3 linked regions of the Rhinolophus ferrumequinum genome follow. The protein of the gene in region 1 interacts with the protein of each later gene in a pairwise test. Links are inferred from orthologs where the notes say so. Each region holds a gene or a part of one and is shown in the gene's direction. Other genes may lie near its edges. The genes, in order: DDX17, WBP11 and RBM15.

Evidence for each region.
Region 2: the proteins of DDX17 (region 1) and WBP11 interact in a two-hybrid assay, tested with the Homo sapiens proteins (3 studies listed by BioGRID and IntAct). The link is inferred for Rhinolophus ferrumequinum from reciprocal best matches to the Homo sapiens genes DDX17 and WBP11.
Region 3: the proteins of DDX17 (region 1) and RBM15 interact in binary tests that used the Homo sapiens proteins (3 or more experiments, as listed by UniProt). The link is inferred for Rhinolophus ferrumequinum from reciprocal best matches to the Homo sapiens genes DDX17 and RBM15.

The regions. Positions count from the first base shown.
Region 1 is NC_046293.1:8,627,227-8,635,319, forward strand, and holds the start of DDX17 (probable ATP-dependent RNA helicase DDX17), read left to right. Parts: upstream 1-5,091; 5' UTR 5,092-5,405; coding exon 5,406-5,455; intron 5,456-8,093. UniProt on the Homo sapiens protein: As an RNA helicase, unwinds RNA and alters RNA structures through ATP binding and hydrolysis.
Region 2 is NC_046293.1:29,069,259-29,076,939, reverse strand, and holds the start of WBP11 (WW domain-binding protein 11), read left to right. Parts: upstream 1-4,676; 5' UTR 4,677-4,800; exon of another isoform or gene 4,801-4,878; intron 4,879-5,517; 5' UTR 5,518-5,670; intron 5,671-6,064; 5' UTR 6,065-6,137; coding exon 6,138-6,201; intron 6,202-6,712; coding exon 6,713-6,744; intron 6,745-7,681. Other genes in the region: SMCO3 (single-pass membrane and coiled-coil domain-containing protein 3), read left to right, coding at 1,713-2,390. UniProt on the Homo sapiens protein: Activates pre-mRNA splicing. May inhibit PP1 phosphatase activity.
Region 3 is NC_046305.1:42,294,270-42,301,854, forward strand, and holds the start of RBM15 (RNA-binding protein 15), read left to right. Parts: upstream 1-4,584; 5' UTR 4,585-4,790; coding exon 4,791-7,585. UniProt on the Homo sapiens protein: RNA-binding protein that acts as a key regulator of N6-methyladenosine (m6A) methylation of RNAs, thereby regulating different processes, such as hematopoietic cell homeostasis, alternative splicing of mRNAs and X chromosome inactivation mediated by Xist RNA.

The DNA.
Region 1 (8,093 bases):
GCAAAGCAACATAAATATATTACAAATCTTAATAGCTATTAAACATAAAAAGTAAAATTTTTATTGGAAATGTATCTTTTAATAAGATAGAAGGAGACTAAGGAAAAAATAGATCATGTGTCTATGAACACTTATTTTTGGCTATTCTTTTTTTTTTCTCTCCCTTTCATAGCCGTCAGTGCTGAGAAATTTTGATCACATCATTTAATAGGTGAGAATGGAAAAAGTCTTGTTATAGTAATGTCACTCCATTCCTGTTGCTCTTCTTCCAATATGCCAAAAAGCCAGTAATTATCTCAAGTTATTTTTAATGTATCTGTCGGTAGAAATTCCACATGGTCCTCCTTCCTGTTTGTTGAAAGCAAAGAGCTGGAATTCTCCTAATTTGCAAATGGACATGTTACCAAGGCATTAGGATCATTTACTTTTTTCAAGTCACCAATGTCAGCATTTCTAACTATCCCCGTATTGGGATCTCTGAGATTTTTACTTCCATGGCAAAGTCCGTAGTAAAATTTTGGGTAGAAGAGAAATATTCTTTCATTTATAAAGTGAGAGGGTGCAATTTTAAGCAAATTTCGCAGTCATCTCAATTTTAGAAAGGAGTATATATGAAAGTTCAAGTTCTGGAAATAGATTTCCTGAAAAGTCTCTGCTCCTATGTGTCCCTTGTGTACCACAGTTAAAGGCCACTGCTTCAAGTTACCTTGTTGACTTAAGTACCTCAGGACTCTCAATCTCTTGTATCTAAAGTACAATAAACCAAGCTATCAAAGAACCAAGCTGAGTCCTACCAAGATAGAAGGCAGAGGCATTATGTTTCACATTAGGTGAGTTTAACGACGATGACATTGCAAAGTTGTGACAATGGGACAAGAGAAGGTATGTGTAGAACTTATTATAGTACACGTGGTTTACAGTAAAAGTAGCTTAAAAACAAAGAACTACAGTTTTAAAACTTTAAACAAATGGAAAAATTCTCTTAGTGGTTGGAAATCGAGTCGAGTATAAATTGTACTGCTATAATAACAATAAAACACAGATAAAACGAAAAATGGCAATGGTATTGTTGGCAGGTGGAGTCTGCAGAAAGGAAACCACATCTGCAGGAAAACTGGACAATGGAAAGAGAATGATATTGACCCTGTGATCCCACAGGGAGGTAGCATAGCATAGTGGTCCCAGAGTAGTGGCTGTCAACTGGGGTGGTTCTCAGTGCCCCCTGGGAGACATTGGGCAATGTCTGGAAACATTTTATTGTCACAACTTGGAGGAGGAGGGAGATTCTACTGGCATCTAGTGGGTGGAGTCCAGGAATGCTGCTAAACATCTGCAATGCATAGGATAACCCCCCACAATAAATATCCGGCCCTAAATAGTGCCAAGTCAAAACCTTGCCAGAGCACCTAGGTTTGAGTCCAGCCTATGCTAATTGCTGTGTGATCCTGGGTTAGCACTTAATCTGAGCCTCACATTGTTTTTTAATAAATTTTATTGGGGAATATTGGGGAACAGTGTGTTTCTCCAGGGCCCATCAGCTCTGAGTCGTTGTCCTTCAACCTAGTTGTGGAGGGCGCAGCTCACTGGCCCATGTGGGAATCAAACCAGCAACCCTGTTGTTCAGAGCTCACGCTCTAAACAACTGAGCCATCCAGCCGCCCCAAGCCTCAGCTTTCTTATCTGTAAAGTGGAGAGATGATAACTAACCACTAACATATGTTGAGTGTTATGTGCCAGGCACCCCTCTGAGTGGGGTTTCATTTGCTCCTTCCAAAATCCCTATGAGGTACTGTTATCTCGTTTACAGATGAGAATAAAATAAAAGCTCATAGCACGTGTCTCTCATAGTGAACATGAGAGCACTCAATAGTTTTCAGTCCTTAGGTATTTCTTTTTAAATATTATTTTTTCAGAGCAGTTTTAGGTTTACAGCAAAATTGGGTGGAAAATACAGAGTTTCCCTGTATTCCCTGCCTCTACATACATATAGCTTCCCCCACTATCAACATCCTGTTTCAGTCAATGAAACTACATTGACACATAATCACCCCAAGTCCATAGTTTACATTAGGGTTCACTCTTGGTGGTGTACATTCTATGGGTTTGGACAAATGTGTAATGACATGTACCTACCATTATGGTACCATACAGAATAGTCTCGCTGCCCTTAAAGTCCTCTCTGCTTCACCTGTTCATCCTGTCCTTCGTCCATCCCCTAGCAATCACCGATCTTTATACCATCTCCATAGTTTTGCCTTTTCCAGAATGTCATATACTTGGAATTTTACAACATGTAGCCTTTTCAGATTGGTTTCTTTCACTTAGTCATATGCATTTAAGTTTCCTCCAGGTCTTTTCATGGCTTGATAGCTCATTTCTTTTTCACACTAAAATTTCATTGCCTGAATGTACCACAATTTATCCGTTTACCTACTGAAGGACATCTTGGTTGCTTCCAAGTTTTGGCAATTATAGTAAAACTGCTATAAATATCTTTGTGCAGGTTTTTGTGTGGACATAAATTTTCACATCTTTTGGTAAATACCAAAGAATGTGATTGCTGGATCATATGATATGGTAAGGTATGGTTAGGTTTTCAAAAAAAGGATGAATTGAGCAAAGCACATTTTCATTTTTACCAAGTCTTAGCTGTTACTAATGAAATGTCTCAGTTCTCTGGCTGCCCTATTTAATGAAAATCTCCCTCTATGTTTAGAAAAATGTAATAAGTTTCAACCATCTTTGGTAGGAAAACACAGAGATACAGCAAATAATGAGAAATGCATACTATGGATTCACTTTATATTCAGAAACTTGACTGCCAGAGGAAGACTGTAAGTTCACTTTTTTTTTGGAGGGCAAAAAAATAATGACATAAATATATAGTTATGTACTATGAGAAGCTTTCTGAAGATAAAGGAGTTATGAGATGCTATAAAACAGGGACCTGATCTAGTAGCAATATATGAATTATTTTCCCCTGCAAAATTTAGGGGGGTTTTCGATGGACCTAATTTACTTTATATAAGTTATTTATTATTATATAGAGAGCCTCAGATTTAATTACTTAGCATATAGGATAGACAAACCAGTCCAAATAACTCTCTCAGTGCTATACAGTCTAAATCCCAGTAGGAGCTTAATTGTTGGCCAATTCCTACAAGAGTCATCCTTGACTCTTCTTTCTTTCGTGCTCCACCCATCATTAAATCAGTAGCTTGATTTTCAGTCAGGCCATTTCTCCCTTACTGGTTGCTATTAACCCATGCCAAGCCCCATCATCCCTTGCTGGATTATTGCACTAACCTAATTAATCTGCCTGCTTCTGTCCTAGCTCACTCTCAATTTATTCCCCGTACTGCAGCCATAGGGGTCCATTTATTATGTCACCCTGCTTAAAACCTTCTAGACATATCCAATTTACTGAAAGGAAAAAACGAAGTCCTTACCGCAGCCAACAAGCCCTTTAAGATCTGGCCCTCTCTTTCCTCCTTGCGCTACTCCAGCCACATTCTGCCTCAGGGCCTTTGCACTTGCTCATTTCTGTATGTCAGCAAGGCTAGCTCCCTCCCTTGAGGTCTCTGCTCAGATGTCACTTGATCAGGGAGGCACGGGTATACACTCCCTCCTACAGACACACATACCTCTATCCCTTTTCCCCCCCGCTTCATTTTTTTTCTTTTTATTTTAGTTAGCAACCCTGACATAAACATTTATTGTCTGTCTTCCCCACTAGAGTGTGAACTCCAGGAGTGTAGTAACTCATTTGTTCACTGCTGTGCACCAGTTCCTAGCACAGTGCTTGGGCCTATTAGGCATTCAACACTTGTTCAATTAATCTGATTACTCATCGGCATTTGTGGCCCAAGAGACATCTGAACAGCTTGTCACGAAGATCCTTTCCTTATGCTACTTTTGTAATAATTTGGGAAACACTCAGAGCACAGAGTAGGAGACACCAGTCAGCCCCTACCATAAGGGACCTCAAATCTCCCCCACTTATACCCATATGTAGAAATAAATAAGACATGGTTAAACAGCTGCTCTTCTGAGGCCCTAACAGCTCAGCTCAACGATTCCGTGACGCTGTCAGGCCAAGCTTCTGAGACTTTAAAGTGTAGTTTGAGGGAGAAGGAAGCAGGCAGGGAGAGGGAAGCCAGATTAGAAGGAATTAAGGACACGGCCTAGGCTGGTTACAAACATGACTTATGCCTTCACCTTTTCTGTGTCTGCAGACCACCGCTTTTAAACCGTTCTGTTCCTCTCGGGAGAGCGCTAAGGGGCTGCCATGGGCCTCATGAGGCAGCGCCCGCTTAAGGGCGGTCAAGGGATCTCAGCGTCTACCTTAAGGGCTCCACCCACATTTTGGTTCTTTGTTAGCCAGCTGTGCTCAGCAGGGGACAGTGTAAATATTGTTGAGAACGTGCACTTTAGTGTGACTAAGTGTAGCAGAGTGCTTTAACCCAGGTGAGACGTCGCCACCTGACCAAAACCCGAAAGAAGGGACAAGGAACATCTATCATGGCTGCCGGCGCCGGCACAGCGAGAAGCAACCGAAAAGAAATGGCGCCGGGGCGCGCGGCCAGTCTAGGGGCCCAGGGCGGCGGGGCCAGAGCGCCCGCCAGGGACCTTAAAGACCCTCCTGGGCGTTTGGCACCTGGAGACCCTGAAACTTGACTGCAGAATGAAGGACAGTTATTGTCTGGGCAAAGCAACTTGCACAAGAAGACCGGGTTCCGTCCCGCGGTCGAACCCGGCAAAATCCTCTATTCTCCAAACAGAAGGCGTTACGCACACTGCGCATCTTCGCAACAGTGGGTCAGCTAACGACGCAAAGAATGTTACGTCGCGCCGGAGGCTCACCACCCCCCACCCCCACCCCACGTTCTAGTTTAGGCGACGCGAGAACTACGCCCGATCCGTACTTTGTTTTTCTTCTACCAACCGCAAAATGCGTCCATCTCCGCAACTGACGAAAAATGCTTCCAAGAATACCCGTAGTACTCCGCAAAGCCCTCCGGCGACTCCGACACGCTGTTTACGTATGGGCTCCGACGTACGTAGCGTTAAGCTGGAGCAGTCTCAGCTCCGGCCGCCATTTTGTGCAGTCGCTGGGAAGGAAGGAGACGCCTAAACCGCGGCACTGCCGGGTTTGAGCGTAGCCAAACCTGCCCACTGATTTTATAACCCCGATTCTCTGTGTTTTGCTCCCGTCTCCGACGAGAGAGGCGGCGACGGTGGCGTCTGCGACGGGAGACAGCGCGTCGGAGCGAGAGAGCGCCGCGCCTGCCGCCGCCCCAACAGCGGAGGCGCCGCCGCCATCGGTCGTCACCAGACCGGAGCCGCAGGCCCTCCCGAGCCCGGCCATCCGTGCCCCGCTCCCAGATCTCTATCCATTTGGGACCATGCGCGGAGGCGGCTTTGGGGACCGGGACCGGGATCGTGACCGTGGAGGGTAAGGGAGGAGGGGGAGAGGAGAGGCCTTGTGTGTGCATGGGGGTGGGGGGGCTGCTTCAAGAGGAGACCGCCGCCTGCGGGAGAGCGGGAGACTTGGAGCAGAACGCAGGCCTGCGAACAACGCTCCCGACTCGGGGAGGCGAGGCGACCCGGGACATAATAGCGATTTAGAGCACAGGCCTTTGGGTGGGCCTGGGCCCCGAAGTCACTGATGACCTGGCAGGGGGGTGGTAGCTTGGCGACGCCCCAACTCCTCCTTGCGGACGGCGGTCGTAGCGCCGCACGGCCCCAGCCTCGCGGGGAGCGGGAGCGGGAGGGGGATGGCCCGGCCATCGCAGACCCCATCCGGGCCTCGCCTCGCCTCGCTTGGCGACTCTTGGAGCCTGGCGGATTTGAGCAACTCACTTGATGTCTCCGGGCTTCAGCGTTTATCTGTGAAACACGGGTGTTTTTGTTGAGAAGAGGATGGAGGTCTCTGAGTTCAGTCTAGGAAAAGCTTAACGCGAAATGGCTTCCCTTATGTTATCTATAGCCAGAGATCACTGTTAGTCTCCAGTTTCTGAAACTGGAGACTAATTAAAAGTCTGGGTTTTAGTTTTAAAAACGTTTTCAAATTCCTTCAGTCGTATTTAAATGGAAGGACGCACATTGGAACATAAAGCAATGGAATTACCATCCAAATGGCTGTATTTGGGGAGGGAGGGTTTTGGGGTTTTTTCCAAGTTTCGGTCTTATTTTTATTTTCTCTATAAGCGGACTGGAGCGTTAACTTCTCGGCCTATCTAGAAAGTTTTTGATGCAGTTAGGCCATGGTTAACAGGGTTGGCAATTGACAGCATTAAAACAAGTTCTCCCACATACTGAGATTCAAATCTTAATGTCGGTTAAACTAATAAGTTGCTTATGATACAGATCCATGTCGATTTGTGCTGTTAACTTTTTGTAATAAAAGTTTTATCTCTTGGATGAAAAGTAATGTGACGCCACTTCTTAATGTGTGTGTGACCTTGGGCAAAATCCTAAACTGTTGTGAGTCTATTTTCTCATCTGAAAATGGGGATAATAATTGTCTGTATTTTGTATTGTTCTCGGGAATTTGAGAGAATGCATGTAATTGTCTCTGTACTAGGTGTTGTTAATATTTTCTCCAAACATTTCCAAATATTTTCTTTTGTTCAGGTATACAAGTATCAGATCTACTAGTCACAAGCACCTCAATTATCACTTAATTTACAAAATAAAAAAATTATTTTGATTTATACCTTGGTAGGAAGGAAAATGTTTTATCTTGGTGTTAAGTTTGGAGGACTAGAAGTGGAATGTTTGCTTAGTGTTTCACAGTATAGCCAAATTTAGAAGTGAATTTCAATACAACTGCTTAGGGAAAAGAAATTAAGGTTATCTAGTAAAGTCAAAAATGACCCAGTAATTCTTCTCTGAAACTTTATGCCCTAGACTCTAAGGCCTAGAGAAACTCTTGGACTTGTGCCCCCGCATTCATATACAGAGATGTTTATACCAGCATCGTTCATGACAGTATTGGAAACAACCCAAATGTCTGGATAAATTATGGATATTCATATAGTAGAATGCAGTACAACAGTGAAAAAAAAAAGCTTGCATCAACATGGATGACTCACAATATTGAATGAAAAAGCAAATTGTGGTGGGGTAATGCATATAAGGATACCTACAAATGTGACAAAATTATAAATAAAGCATGGGAATGGTTCAAGTTTGAGGTAGTTATAGTGGGGGTTGTAAACATGAGGTATGTAGAGGCCACTAAGATACTAATAATTTATTTCTTTAGCACAGGCGTTTGACTTAATATTCCATAGAATACATGCTTTAATAATAAAACTTTAAAGAGAGAAATAAGTGAATTTTATTGATTCATACTTAGTTTATCCCATATTGATTTTAGTACCAGATGACACTTTTTAAAAAGTTTTAAAAATTATTAAAATGACACCCTTGCATAAGGTCTGTGCCCTGACTCTACCTTTACTATGAAATTTACTTTGTTTTGAATTGCTATTGTTTTGTCCGTAACTGAATGTTACAGCTGAAATGGATTAATATCTTGAAAAGGCAATAAGTGAGATCAGTGTATGTACCGATAGTCCAAAAATGTACGTTGTTCATTTAAACTGGTTTGATTTTGCATGTTAATACATGAATCTTCAAAGCTGTGTTTATTGCAAAGCCAAATTAAACTTAATACTCAATAAAAATATTTTGATGGATAGCATAATATGCTAGGGATTAGGATTACACACATCTTTAAAGGATGGCACGAATGTGCTCAAAAATTCTAAGAGTAAAAGGCTCTCTTGAATATTGAAGTCAGCATATTTATAAAGAACCCCATGTTTCAAATTACATCTTTAGTGTAGGATAGTATGTCTTGGATAATCAGCCAAAGCAACATAGAGAAAGGAAAAAAATATTTTTTTAATTAAGGGCTACTTTGAATAAGTCTAAAAAGGAACCTTTGAAAAGTTCTGTTTTCTTCTAGATCGTTATTAAGGTCTGGGTAGCATTAGAATGCAGTAGCAGTGTTGAAATGGCACCTTCTAGGAACCACATTAATTGATACAAACTAGACAATCTCTAGAAATTGGTCTTTGGTC
Region 2 (7,681 bases), about 20 Mb from region 1:
GCCAAAAAAAAAAAAAAAAGTTTAATGGAAAATTCCTAGAAGAAAAAAGAGAAATCAAAGTCCAAATTTGTGGTTATCAAATTGCAGTTTGCAACCTAATGATGAATTTGGGAAATATTTAATAGACCCTCAACAAATAGAATTACTTTTCTAAGTACTGTCTTAGGGAAATTTGTGTCTGTTGCGTGGGTGTGCGTGCACTTGTATAGGTGTGTACTAGATCTGAATCAAAGATAAAAATGAATTTCTGACTATGATAAAAGTTTATTCCACCAGGAGTACCAGTGCAGTTTTCTAAATTAAACATCATAAATTATCATGTTCCCAATCCATTTTTTAAAAATGGTCCCCTCTCTATTCCCAAATTACATCTTTATGACTTGGAGGATAGATTAATTTCATGTTTACTTTCTTGAGAGAAAAACACCTTCACTCCTTTATTCCATGTTTCTCAGGTTCCCCATATCTAGGTTAAGAACATGATCCTAAGATAGGGCCCAAGTTAATCAAGATATCGCTTACTCATAGAGAGAATGTGCCAGATCCCACACAGATATAGAGAACTCCATTTTCTCTCAAGGGTTTAAAGGAAAAATAAAAGTGCCAGGCACATAGTAAGCCTACTCAATGTAACCATATTGAGTAATATTGTTCTTACTAGGCTCAAACTTTTACCCAAATAAACTCAGAAGAACATGCTTATTCCTTTTTCCTCTGCATGATACTCTGAGCCAGAAGTGTAAACTCAAAAGGCTTCTACCAGGCTTATTTTATTCATTCTATGGTACTCTTGCTAATTATTCCTTAATATTTCTGTGAAATGACATTATCTTCTTTCCAAGGCTAATTCTAAATTATCTTAATAATGGCCAAGTGCAATACAGACCATTTTAAATAATTTCATTTATAAACTTTGCAAATAGAGAATCAGAGGCAGTCATGATTGCACTGTCCCTTGCACCATGCCCACTTTCTCAAGTGAGATTTTAATCCACGGCCTCTTGACTGTATACTCTCATCACAAGGATTTTTTGTAAAGATTCTATTGTTATATTCGCCTTTCAATGTCCCTTAGGTTTAGAGAACAAGTAATTTGCCCGTAAAGATATAGTGATTTAAATATTGTAAATTAAGTGACAAATTAATAAATATTGTAAATTAATACAAACAAAATTACATATAAATAGCCCTGTAAACTCAGAGATCTTAATATTCTTCTGGCCCTACTAATTTAACTCCAAATATCAGAGAAATAAATCTGGAAGTTCTTTGCAGTGTGGTGACCAGAAGTTGGAGAAATAAAGGAGCACTGGCTATCAAGAGCTCACCATTTCAAACTGTGTTCTGTTTCAAATGTTATTAGACATTACTTGGAAATAATCACATTTACTTATTAATAATCAGATGCTTGATAAACACAAGTATTTCCTATCTACGACTTCCCCCACCACAAAATGTAATAATGCCTTAATTAACGCATCAATAGGCTATATTCCGTTGCCCACATTTCCACACACTGACTCCAAGTTTCATGAAAATAATTGTTTTCAAGAACCCATTGAGTTTTCTGAGGAATTCCTTACATAGCACATTGCTACTTTGCTATTCATGAAGTAAAAGATTTCCTGGTCAAATCTAAGCAGACAGGAGATATTTTTCAAGATTTTTAGTGAAAATTTACCATTTTATTTTTCAGAGATCATATCTGAAATATGGCTCACAGTGACTTGCTCTACCCAGACAACCCAAGGAGGCGGGAAGAAGTAAACCGTCTTCACCAACAGCTCCTTGACTGCTTGTCTGACAGCTTCTATGCCACCAATAAGTTGATTGGGGTTTTAAATACACATTTGGGGTGCAGGCTGGTCTCCATTGAGATGAAAAGAGATGGCACCATCAAAGAAAACTGTGATATCATCATCCAAGCTGTGATGAAAATCCAAAAGGAATTGCAAAAGGTTGATGCAGCACTAAAAGATAAACTAGAGCCAACACTTTATAGAAAACTTCAGGATATTAAGGAAAGGGAAACAGAGAAAATTGCAATTGTACAAAAGGTTATTTCAGTCATCCTGGGAGAAGCTACTTCTGCAGCCAGTGCAGTGGCTGTTAAACTCGTGGGCTCAAATGTCACAAGTGGCATAATTAACAAGTTGGTCACTGTGTTAGCTCAAATTAGTGCTTCCCTCCTTGGTAGTATAGGAGTTGCTCTTCTTGGCCTTGGCATAGATATGATCTTCCGTGCCATCCTGGGAGCAGTGGAGAAAACGCAACTTGAAGCAGCCATCAAAAGTTATGAAAAGCATCTGGTGGAATTCAAGTCAGCCTCAGAAAAATATCATCATGCCATTACTGAGGTCACCAACACAGTGGAACACCAAATGAAATAAATAGCCACTTTATTTGCCACTGGAATATTTTCTGCTTCTCTCTCAATAATAGTGCTTTGTTTCTTTGATTAGGTTAATTTTCCATATTCTTCCAACAGAGACATAAGTACAGTAAACAAACTGGAAAGAGGAATTACAGATGCTAAAACTAGATGACTCTAGAGTTTTGCATCAACAATGAATGCCTGGATCAGTTGGTGCTAGATCCTGTGAAATAGAAGATTATATCCGAGGATTCTTCTCACTCTGCTCTCTATCAGGTCAACATTAGCGTAAATGATATTATAGAGCAGCAGGTGTAGGGGTTACCTTTTCCTTTTCTAATTCCCTGTCAAAATCCTTAAAATTTACATTGAATGCAGAAATTTTCATTTCTACTTCAGACATCATTTAGTTCTATGGGGACATAGTAACTTCTGCCTGAACACAAACCACAGGCCTTCTAAAGGAATAGAAATACTACCATAAGTTTGACCATCAGTTTAAATTCAACTTTCTGTAAACTGGAAGAGACTAAAATATGGCTTGTAACAATCTACTTCAACGATGAAAGGAGGCAATGGTTCTGGAAACTTCTAATTCTATAATTTGGATGGATTTTTAAAAGACAAAATTTAAAACTAAAAGATAAAGGTTTTGTTTCTATAATTGCAAGCAACCTGACCAACTGTGGTGTGATGATTAAATATCCCTCAAGTGAATGTTTGAACACTCTGGAACATTTAAAAAACAAACAAAGCAAATCCCAGCACAAAATGCATCTAGGATACAGGAGAGGAAGTAGCAACTTTTAAGAATTTTAGAGGAAAGTCATAATTTATTACCTTATGAGTTTTCAGAAAAAAGAAATTTCATTTTCAATACTGGCAGAATGGAGGAAGTTGTCATTGTATATACAGCTTTAGGTGGCCCATTTCATTAATTACCTACTTTCAGAAAAATCTAGAGGCTCTGGAGGCCTAATGGTTCAGTTGAATTTCTGCAGATGCACGAGTTTGTTTCCTAAATCCTGCACCAACTTTTAACTCCCATTGAGGCTCTCAGATTCTACTTGTAAAATTATTAATAAGCTGTTGATGCAAGAATGTGTTATAGTTGATTCTTGAAATTTGAAAATTTCAGCATATCTTAAAAATTAAAATCTAGATGAAATACTTGAATTTTTCAAATGTAATAATTTTCTTTCATTATTTTTTCATCATTATTTTTTAAAATTCGTTGTAAAACATCACAATTTAGTTCACCTGCAAAATTAAACTTTTTTATTACCTGATTTATAAGCTTTAAACTACAAGATCTTTTTATTGTTCTTTCTGGGACTCAAAATTCAGTCTAAAATCAAATCAAGAATTTCCTAAGACAAAGGTTAGTTTAGGTAAGGGACAAATGTACAGTTAAATGCACATTTAAATATTCTGCTAAAAGTTACTATGTATCTCCATCAGTATTTTGTACTATTTATAATTGATATTAAGAATTGACCCATATCTAACATATTTTCCTACAAGGGATATGATTAAGATCAAAAATAAACAAGCGTGTCCTTTAAGAATAGAATTTTAAAATATAAAAAATTTCCTTCAAGGTGAAAAGACAGGGGAGGTGTCATAGAGAAAAAGCGGATAGAAAAGGAAAAGGAAAGGACGAAGAATGGAGCCAAGGGAATAATCCCGTGTATACAGTGACATCATAGAGGATTTTTGGCTGGTGAAAAGACCAGAGCCGATACAATATAAGTTCGCCCGTAGTAAATGTAAAACTGACAGCACATGTATCCCCACATTTCCTTTTCAAAGTACTAATCCTGTAGATTAGCAATCTGGCTCTGTAATATGGGCACGGATTTGCTCAGGTCTACAAATGTTCTGTGTGACTATAAACTACCGAACTTTCTGATCGTCATGACTCTAGCACAGCGCAAACACCGTAGCAATTATTTGGGAATTCGTTTTCAAACAGACACTCCCAAAAGATCGCACTAGCCTACGTCACAAAAAAAAAAAAAAGAAAGAAAGTCTTAGAACTAACACAACTCCAGGAGGCCGAAAGAGCGCCTCGCCGGTCTTGAGCAGCGCAATAAACGAAACTCCCGGAAATTAGGTCAGAACGCCTCCTTTTCCAAGAGCCGATCTTATATCCGAGCGGCTTCTTTTTCTTATTTCCATTGGTCTACGGAAGTGTCAATCAAGGTGCTGCGTCATGAGGGCGGGCTCTTAGTCGATAACCAACCAATTCGGTACTGTATTGGAGCGGAAGACTCTGGTCCCGGAGTTCTTGGTTACTTCCTATGCTTCCAGGGCGGAGAAACCGTGAGTTCGTCGGGCTACAGGGATAGGAAGTGACGTAGCAATGGCGGAGGGGCGCGAGGTTTCAAGATGGCGGTTGCTGGATAGCTGACCGGGAGGCAGAGGTGAAGGCCCCTACCAAGTCAAAGAGGCCGAAAATCGTCCTCTCCCCGCTCCTTGTAGTCCTAGAGCCCAGCAGAAGTGTGAGTGTGCGGGATTGTGCCAATCGGATTCTTCATCTTTCCCGTTCCTTCGTGGGGCACGCGCGGTTGCCTCGGGGACACAAGGCCTCTCTGCCCCGTGTTTCCTCTCCGCGGTTGGGTCTCCCGGGTAGCCGACTGGAGGATCCCCGAGCCTGGGGCGGAGCGGCGACCAGCGCGGTTAAGCGGCTGACTCCCCCAAGTCGGTTAGCGCCGCCTCCTGTCTGTGCACGTTGACTGGTCGCAGATAGCCTTAGATTTGATGTTTGTGCTTCGAGTCAGGTTCAACCGTCGCTATGGTTTCGGCAGTTGCAGCTACTGTTGGCCTTTGGTGGATCTGGGCCCCGGCCCATTGGAGCTTCTTGGCTCGGTTGTCTAGAGGTCCCCCCACGGTTTTGTGGCCCGATTTCCCCGTCGCTTCTGTTTCAAGACATAATAGTAGTTTGCGCAGACTAAGGCCCCAGTTTCCTCTGTAAAAATTTTCTGTAATTCGTATTCTGTTTCAGGTTGGGGAAGGTGGGTTAAAAGAGCCTGAGGGTAATTGAGAGAGGAAAGCAAAAAAGATGCGGGCCATCAAAGATAGGAGAGCTTGTATTTGTACTAATTTTGCTTGCTTCTGCCTCTCTTCTCCCTCACTCCCAGGTTTTATAAGAAGGAAATCCTTGACAGGGTAAAGTAGTTGCCATTGGAACAACTTGGAAGCATTTCGCAAAAGTCAAGGCAATTGAACACTTGCTGAAAGAGACATTAACTAATAACAAACTTGTCTGATGAGATCTTCATAAAGAAGGAAAGGTATAATTGTATGGTCTACTAAAAAGTTTACCTCGGGCCTATAACTTCCCTAGTAAAAGGTTTATCTTTGCGTTAAGCCAGTCCTGTCCATTGCTTCTGTGCATCTAGGTTAACATACTTTTGAAATTGCTCTTTTTTGCCAGACCTCTCAGAGGCTTAATGACTCTCAAGGGAGCACATAATCTTGTTAACTGTCCTGTAATCCAGGCATAGAAATTTCCCTGCCTTGCTTTTTCCCACCTTAAAGCAATCTTCCTTAGGGTCCATCCTTCATTTTGAAGTATAAACAGGACTGCAAAACTCATTCTCCAGAGCATTTTTGAGGTCTTGATGCGAGGCAGGTTGTCAGTTTGGCTCGGATAAGCTCTAATAAATTCATACAAATTTTCTACAGGCTTGGACGTTCTTACTTTGATGCAGCTTTTGGTGTTTTTTTAATGAACAAGTGAACCACACAGATTGTCAACATGGGACGGAGATCTACATCATCCACCAAGAGTGGGAAATTTATGAATCCCACAGACCAAGCCCGTAAGTATCCATGAGTGTGGAATGATGAAGAAGAGCTGTGGTAAAAATTGCAAGCATTAGGAAATCTATTTCATGATGTCCTAATTTCAAGATTAGCAGTGCTAGGAATTGGTTGTATAAAGTTATACAGTGTTCTTGTGGGCACGTGATTAAAACTTGAATAAAACATGCAAAAAAAATTGTGTGCATATTTTTAATTTGATTGACTTGGAATTGGCTTAAAACTTCTTTTTGTATTTGGAATTTTGAATAAATTAGTTCTGCAAGTTCTTTAGTATTTTATGACATCTTTTTTCATCAGGTTCCTAGTTCTTCCTTAAGCTTAAAATTTCTCGAGACATTTTTGGTTGACAAAATTAGAAGGGTGCTACTAGCATCTCGTAGGTAGAGGCCAGCGGTGCTTCTGAAGGTCCTACTGTGCAGGACAGCCTCTCACAATAAGAATTGTGTTAAATTGAGGAAATGTTATAATAAGGTTCAAGGTTTGAAAGTTTTTTTTCTCTTTGTCTAGGAAAAGAAGCCCGGAAGAGAGAGTTAAAGAAGGTATGATTTCAGATGCATCAAATTAGCTATTAAGTGTTGTTTGGCACATTTTATCATTTGGGATTAGTGGATTTCCAAGTAACATTTTCAGTTACTTGCCAGAACCATAAAATGTACTAAACCAAAGTACCATATAGCTGCTCCTTGTTACAATGGGGTTATGTCCCAAAAAACCCATTGTAAGCTGAATATATCTTAAGTTGAAAATGCGTTTAATACACCTAGCCTACCAAACATCATAGTTTAGCCTGGTATACCCTAAATGTGCTCAGAACACTGACCTTAGCCTCCAGTTAGGCAAAATCATCTCTCTGCCACTGCCCAGCATCATGAGAGAATATCATACTACATGGCTAGCCGAGGAAAAGATCAAATTTTGAAGTACAATTTCTACTGAATCCAAGTGCCTTTGGCGCCATGGTAAAGTAAAAAAAAAAATCGTAAGTCGAATATTGGAAAGTCTGGGACTTTTTGTACTTGGGAACAAAACTAAATAACCTTGCTGATAAGCTCATGATGGGTTATTGTAACATTGTTTATTTGAGTATCTTTCCCAGTGAGTTAAATAATACACTTTTGAAAATAATTCTTTTTTTGTTAGTTATTAAAACATACTGCTTTGTTAAAAGCTACTGAATTAGTGGCTGTAAATAAATGTGATGCTAACTAGCTTTGTACATTCGTTTTCCTGGTTATGTAGCTGTTGAGTTGATGACAAAGTGCTTTCCCAGAATAAGAAAGGATTTACTTTTCAGTATCACATTAAGAAAACTCAGATTTTTAATTGTTTTCAATTGTGTGTTTTGTTACATTGTTTAGCAATAATTCCTGTAAAACTTGAATGTATACCTTTAGAATATAACTGAAACCTGTTTAAAAAAAAACTGCAAATTTTTTTTTTTTTTTAGTAACTGCTTTAGATCTCATAGATACTTGT
Region 3 (7,585 bases), on another chromosome or scaffold:
AACCGCCTAGACTTTGAGACCCTTGTTGTATTTAATGCGTGCACGCGTGCGCGCGCACACACACGCACGCACACAGAGAATTCTTTAAAATTCCTTCAAAATGTTCTTTGACGTTCTTAAACCAAAACAAGGGATTGCTAAATACCGGATTCAGGAGAGTAGCTACCTATGGGGGTAGGCAGTGTATAAGGGAGAATTAAGGTAGATGTAAATCATCTGTAACTTCCTATTTCTTGGATTGAGTGGTAGGTTCCTGAGTATTCACTATGTTCTTGATAAATGAAAAGTTTAACGGTCCATGGATGAACCATTGATGATTGTATGTCATGAATTAAAGATTATGATTAATCCAATTCCATGTACTCAAGTGCAAAGAGAAACTATATTAGTAATGCTTGCCATGTACCAGGCACTGTTCTAAGCTCCTTACATGTTTTATCCCATTTAATCCTCCCAGTGAAGAGATTCTATGATTAGTCCCATTTTATAGACAAGAAAATCAAGGCCCAGAGAAAATTAACAGTAACTATTCTGAGGCCCAAAGCAGAGCTGGGATTTAATCTAGGCTGGCTGGTTCCATAGCCCATGCTCTTAACCACTGCCCCTTAAGATGTCTAAATAAAGAGGCAATTATATTACGGCTTAGTCACCTAGGAGAAGTTATAGCAGAGTGCTTTCTGTAATAATATTAAAGGATGAAACACATATACAGGTCTGGATATACATATTAAAAAACCACTGAATTGTACACTTTAACTGGGTGAACTTTATGGTATGTAAATTGTATCTTAATAAAGCTGTTTAAAAAACCCCACAAACCACAAATACGTAAGTGACTTTATAATGCAAACTGGGTCCTAACTGATTGTTAACTATTTTAGGGATTTAATATATGCTTGTGTGTAAAATATACACTTTTTCTGCAGACCAAACAAACAAACCTCACTGTCAGGAGACCACTCATTTTATGAAGGAAGGCGAAATAGAAAATTTTAATCCACTCTTGTGAGTGGGAACAATTTTTCCATTCCCAGCTACAGGCCTTTTTGCATCTGCCAGGAAATCAAATAACTCTGGGCTCCCAAGACACATTTCTTATTGCAATTGTCTGTGTGTGTACTGAGTTTATAACAACAATAAAATGTAGGAAGGAAGGGGGTGGAAAGAAGACATTTGATTGAAAACACACTGATGTCTTTTAATTGCAGATTTCTTCCATGTGCATAACAGTTTCCTTTTTCCTTTTAAATCTAAAAGTGATTTTCAAGGAAATAAGAGAAAGCACTTCATATGGAAAGCTATGGCTGCTCTCCCCCTGAGCCGAGTCCTCTAGGACCTTCAAGTTGTACAACTCTAAGGGGCCCATACCAACACCAGAATGGGCGAAGGCAGCTTTTCAACACACTTGGCTTTTGACAAGACACTGAAAGGAGAGATAAAACATGCTATGATGCTCAGGGAATTTGTTGGCAGTTTAACTCCATTTTCATGACAGCTGAAAGATCCTCCTTGCCCAGGTCAGCGGTTCTCACAAATCTGGCCATAGATCATCAGGAGATCAGATGAAAGCTTGGACTGGACATCAACGACTCCATCACCCACACCAGAAAAAGTGTTGAGTCTTGGCCCTTTAAACCATGAGTCACTTTTATCCTCTCAGGTCTCCCTAAGCTCACGAGTGAAAACAGGCTGATTCAACCTCACTAAGCAGCTTCATACTTTAAAGAACAGAAAGGAAACGAAAAAATCTTATTTTGACTACAATATGAATCAACATATTGTCATTATTCAGTCCATTATTCATGGACACATGGACACACACATCACGGGCTATATTTTGGCTCTGTTACTGAGAATGAAATTTAGGCCTTTACTATCTACCCACTGAACTACCAGTCCTCTAGACAGCAGACTGGGTATCAGTCCCCTTAGGCAAGCCTTCGTGCTGAAGCCAGCTATGGGCAGTAGCTCCACCAAGCTCGCTAGTATCACATATGGCAAGCCACCACACCAAGCAGAGACTCAGGCACTGCTACACATACTGGTACCAGCTCCCTGAATTCTCTCGTGTTCCCTCACTCACTATTATGAGGTTTGGGAAACTATACTGATTTGGTCATTATCTCTTTTGTTGATCAGTGAATCACTTAAGCAGGACAATTTAGGTCAAAAAAATCAGTCTGGAGCCTGGTTTATTTGCATTGGCTATTACTTTAAGTAATCAGATAATGACTTACCTCCAATTTTGTGTTGTATTAATATAACTTTGCAATAGATTAAAACACCCTATGTGAAGATTTTTGTGTTGTGCTTTTACACACAATGTGTTGGTTGTTGTTGTTTTTTTATCCCCTAGCATCCAGATTTTTGTCTTAAAATATTATTTCCCACTAAAAGAAACCAAAACTCTTTGGAGAAATGACTGATTGTATGTCTGGGGCAGATAATGTACCAGCTAAGCCTGCAACAAAATAATGAAGGGGGTTAGAGTGGGAAGAGTCAAGATGAAACAGAATTGACATGGGTTGATAGTTGTTGAAATTGGGTGTTGGGTACATCGAAGTTCTTTATAGTATTCTACTTTTTCCATGAAAATAGTTCTAAGGAAAGCTAAAAATAATATATATATATTTAAAAATATGAAACAGTAACAGTATGCACATGGTAAAACAAGTTTTAATAATACATAAAGGTATACAATGAAAAGTTAAGTTTCTCTCCTACTGAAACCTTCAGACCCCCTCCCACCATGAACTTTGTAACAATTTCCCAAGTATTCTCAATGAAGTTTCTACATTTACAAAATATATATACACATACATATATATCATTTTTAAAACCACAAATGATAGTATATTATACACACGGTTTCACGATTTATGAAGTTTTAACAGCTAGTTTTAATACAATGAGTCTGTCTACATACCACAATACTGTGGATTTTTATGCTTTGACATATTGGGCTTCTTTCAAACTTCTTTGATCTAATCAAGAGAGAAAAGGCGCACATCATCACCTTCCTCAAGATTATTTAGAAAGAGAAGAATGGCTGAGGGAAGGCTAAACAGGTTGCAGTCCCTAAAAGTTTTCAAGTTCAGGTTTCAGTTTGATGGACATTAGTGCTACCTTAAAAATGTCATGTTTTAAAACATCTCACATTCTCTACTCCATATTGAACCTTGAGAGATGTGGTGGACGAGAGAGAATCAGTACAAGTATCCTCATAACTTCTGCCCGGAGCATACCTGGGAGGACTGCAGCAAGCCCAATCGCTGTGATGAACTCAGCACTACAGTGAGCAGCAGGACAAAGGTTGTACCTGTTCTAATCTCGGTATCACCAGCACCTCGCATAGGTGCTTTATTATCTGACACAATAAAGGTCTCTGGAAAGAATGAAAGTTGGATTTTGAAGCAGATGATTGAGGAAGCCCAAAGAGGTGGATCCATAGACAGCAACGTAGTTGTGCCACTGAGTTCTAATATAGAATAACGGGGTGACAGGGGAACTGCAGGGAGATACAAGAAGCAACAGGAAAAATGCGACACGTCTGCAGGGAGCGTAGACTTCACTCGATTATTTAACGGAGAGAGGCATTACATATAAAAAACAAACATACTCTTTTTACAGGACTACAAAATCCAAAATCCATGTGAATTCGCAACATAAAACAGGAAGCCCACAGACACGTCCGCGGTGCCTGACAATCCGGGCCACCGATGCGGGCAGCGAAGCTGGGAGCGTCGGTCACTCCCTTCGGTTGCTCGGGGTACTTGGGCAGGAACGGGAAGCGCCAAGGAGGCTGTGTCTCGATTGCGCTGCTTCCTAGCTGCGTGACCCCAAGAGCCCGCGCCCGACCTCTGCACCGCCCCGGGGGCGTTAGTGTGGTCCCGAACTATGTGAACTCCCGGCCTAGCCTGCCCCGCGGGCTCTAGGGACCGCGCGGGCAGCGCTCACTCGAGCAGTGAGTAGGGCTTTTTTAGGCTGTTGACGAAGATGCCGGAGGGAGTAAGAGGCTGCCCGCTGGGCGCTCCGGAACGGCTTCCAGAGGGATTTGTGGGTAGAAAGTGGGGAGACGAAGGCGCAACCAAACCAAGTACCCCACGGGACCGAACAAATATTTGAAGGAAGAACGCCGAAAGCGCGGGGAGGCGGAGCTGTCCCCTGGTCACCATCTCGCGACGTCTAATGACGTCGCACAGCAAGCGCGAGTTCTACTCTTTCACCTTCAGTCCACTCCATCAGAACGTGGGTCTACCCCCGTAAGCGACTGATGGACAGTTATTTCAGCCTATCGATTTTACCACTGTCATCCAATCAGATTCAAACTTCTTTCGGCCGCCAGAGGAGTTGGAAGAAAGGGTCGAAAGAAGGAGCGCTGTTTCTCGCGAGATCGCTGTGAGGCGGCCTCTCAGAAAAAGACTCCAGAACGGATGGCCCGACTTCCCAAATAGTGGGTTGAAGGACGGGGTCTAAACCAATGAAAGAGATGAGGAGGTGGAACCACTGCTTTCATCGCGCAAGAAGTACCGTTACAGAGCACACTTTTTGTCCAATCAACGCCTCCAGACTTTGGGTCAGGTGACGATAGAGTGCGAGGGGCGGAGCTAGAGCCTGGCGCGAGGAACCGTTAAGATGGACAACGAATATAACCAATGAGGTACTCCGACTAAGGTGTTGGGAACCCAATAACAATGGTTGGGCGGGCTCCTCCCCGGAGCGCGGGGAGATGTAAAGACAGACAAGTAATTTTCCCAATGAAACTGTAGAAGAAAGGAGCTGCTTGACCAATGAGGAGTGCGGGGCGGGATCCTTTGCAGCGGCGGAGTCCAAGATGGCGGCATGCGGTTCCGCTGTGTGAAACGAGCGCGGAGCGGCGGGTTAGTCAGCTCCGCGGAGAAGACCTCCGACGACCCGCAACAATGAAGGGAAAAGAGCGCTCCCCAGTCAAACCCAAACGCTCTCGTGGTGGTGAGGATTCGACTTCCCGCGGGGAGCGGAGCAAGAAGTTAGGGGGCTCTGGTGGCAGCAATGGGAGCAGCAGCGGAAAGACCGACAGCGGCGGCGGGTCGCGGCGCAGCCTTCATCTGGACAAGTCAAGCAGCCGAGGTGGCAGCCGCGAGTATGATACTGGTGGGGGCAGCTCCAGTAGCCGCTTACATAGTTACAGTTCCCCAGGCACTAAAAATTCCTCGGGCGGGGGCGAGTCGCGCAGCAGCTCCCGGGGTGGAGGCGGGGAGTCACGTTCCTCTGGGGCCGCCTCCTCAGCTCCTGGCGGCGGGGACGGCGGGGAGTACAAGACACTGAAGATAAGCGAGTTGGGGTCCCAGCTGAGTGACGAAGCGGTGGAGGACGGACTGTTTCACGAGTTTAAACGCTTCGGTGATGTAAGTGTCAAAATCAGTCATCTCTCGGGTGGCAGCGGGGATGAGCGCGTAGCGTTTGTGAACTTCCGGCGGCCAGAGGACGCGCGGGCGGCCAAGCATGCCAGAGGCCGCCTTGTGCTCTATGACCGGCCCCTGAAGATAGAAGCTGTGTATGTGAGCCGGCGCCGCAGCCGCTCCCCTTTAGACAAAGATCCTTATCCTCCGTCATCCAGCGTGGTCGGGTCCTCTGTAGGTGGTCACCGGCACCCCCCTGGAGGGGGTGGTGGAGGCCAGAGATCGCTTTCCCCTGGTGGTGCAGCCTTAGGATACAGAGACTACCGGTTGCAGCAGTTGGCCCTTGGCCGCCTGCCCCCTCCACCTCCGCCACCATTACCCCGGGACCTGGAGAGAGAGCGAGACTACTCGTTCTATGAGAGAGTGCGCCCAGCATACAGTCTTGAGCCAAGGGTGGGAGCTGGAGCAGGTGCTGCTCCTTTCAGAGAAGTGGATGAGATCTCACCAGAGGACGATCAGCGAGCTAACCGGACGCTTTTCTTGGGCAACCTAGACATCACTGTGACAGAAAGTGATCTAAGAAGGGCTTTTGATCGCTTTGGAGTCATTACAGAAGTAGACATCAAGAGGCCTTCTCGGGGCCAGACCAGTACCTATGGCTTTCTCAAATTTGAGAACCTAGACATGTCTCACCGGGCCAAACTAGCGATGTCTGGCAAAATTATAATTCGGAATCCTATCAAAATTGGTTATGGTAAAGCTACACCCACCACCCGTCTCTGGGTAGGTGGCCTGGGACCCTGGGTGCCTCTTGCTGCTCTGGCACGGGAGTTTGACCGATTTGGCACCATACGCACCATAGACTACCGCAAAGGTGATAGTTGGGCGTATATCCAGTATGAAAGCCTGGATGCAGCTCATGCTGCCTGGACCCATATGCGGGGCTTTCCACTTGGTGGCCCAGATCGTCGCCTTAGAGTAGACTTTGCAGACACAGAACATCGTTACCAGCAGCAGTATCTGCAGCCTCTTCCCTTAACTCATTATGAACTGGTGACAGATGCTTTTGGACATCGGGCACCTGACCCTTTGAGGGGTGCTCGGGATCGGACACCACCCTTACTATACAGAGATCGTGATAGGGACCTTTATACTGACTCTGATTGGGTGCCACCACCGCCCCCAGTCCGGGAACGCAGCACTCGGACTGCAGCTAGTGCTGTGCCTGCTTATGAGGCACTGGACAGCCTGGATCGCAGGCGGGATGGCTGGTCCTTGGACCGGGACAGAGGTGAGCGAGATCTGCCCAGCAGCAGAGACCAGCCTAGGAAGCGACGGCTGCCTGACGAGAGTGGGGGACGGCATCTGGATAGGTCCCCGGAGAGTGACCGGCCACGAAAACGTCACTGCGCTCCTTCTCCTGACCGTAGTCCAGACTTGAGCAGTAGTCGGGATCGCTACAACAGTGACAATGATCGATCTTCCCGTCTTCTCTTGGAAAGGCCCTCTCCAATCAGAGACAGACGAGGTAGTTTGGAGAAGAGCCAGGGTGACAAGCGAGACCGCAAAAACTCGGCATCAGCTGAACGCGATAGGAAGCACAGGACAGCTGTTGCCACTGAGGGAAAAAGCCCTCTGAAAAAAGAAGAGCGGTCTGATGGGAGTGCAGCCAGCACCAGCACTGCTTCATCGAAGCTGAAGTCCCCTTCCCAGAAACAGGATGGTGGCACAGCTCCTGCAGCATCAGCCTCTCCCAAGCTCTGTTTGGCCTGGCAGGGGATGCTTCTATTGAAGAACAGCAACTTTCCTTCCAACATGCATCTGTTGCAGGGTGACCTTCAAGTGGCTAGCAGTCTTCTCGTGGAGGGCTCGACTGGAGGCAAAGTGGCCCAGCTCAAGATCACTCAGCGTCTTCGTTTAGACCAGCCCAAGTTGGATGAAGTAACTCGACGCATCAAAGTGGCAGGGCCCAATGGTTATGCCATTCTTCTGGCTGTGCCTGGAAGTTCTGACAGCAGATTCTCCTCTTCCTCAGCCACATCAGACACTGCCACCTCTACTCAGAGGCCACTTAGGAACCTGGTGTCCTATTTAAAGCAAAAGCAGGCTGCTGGGGTGATCAGCCTCCCTGTGGGGGGCAACAAAGACAAGGAAAACACCGGGGTCCTTCATGCCTTCCCACCGTGTGAGTTCTCCCAGCAGTT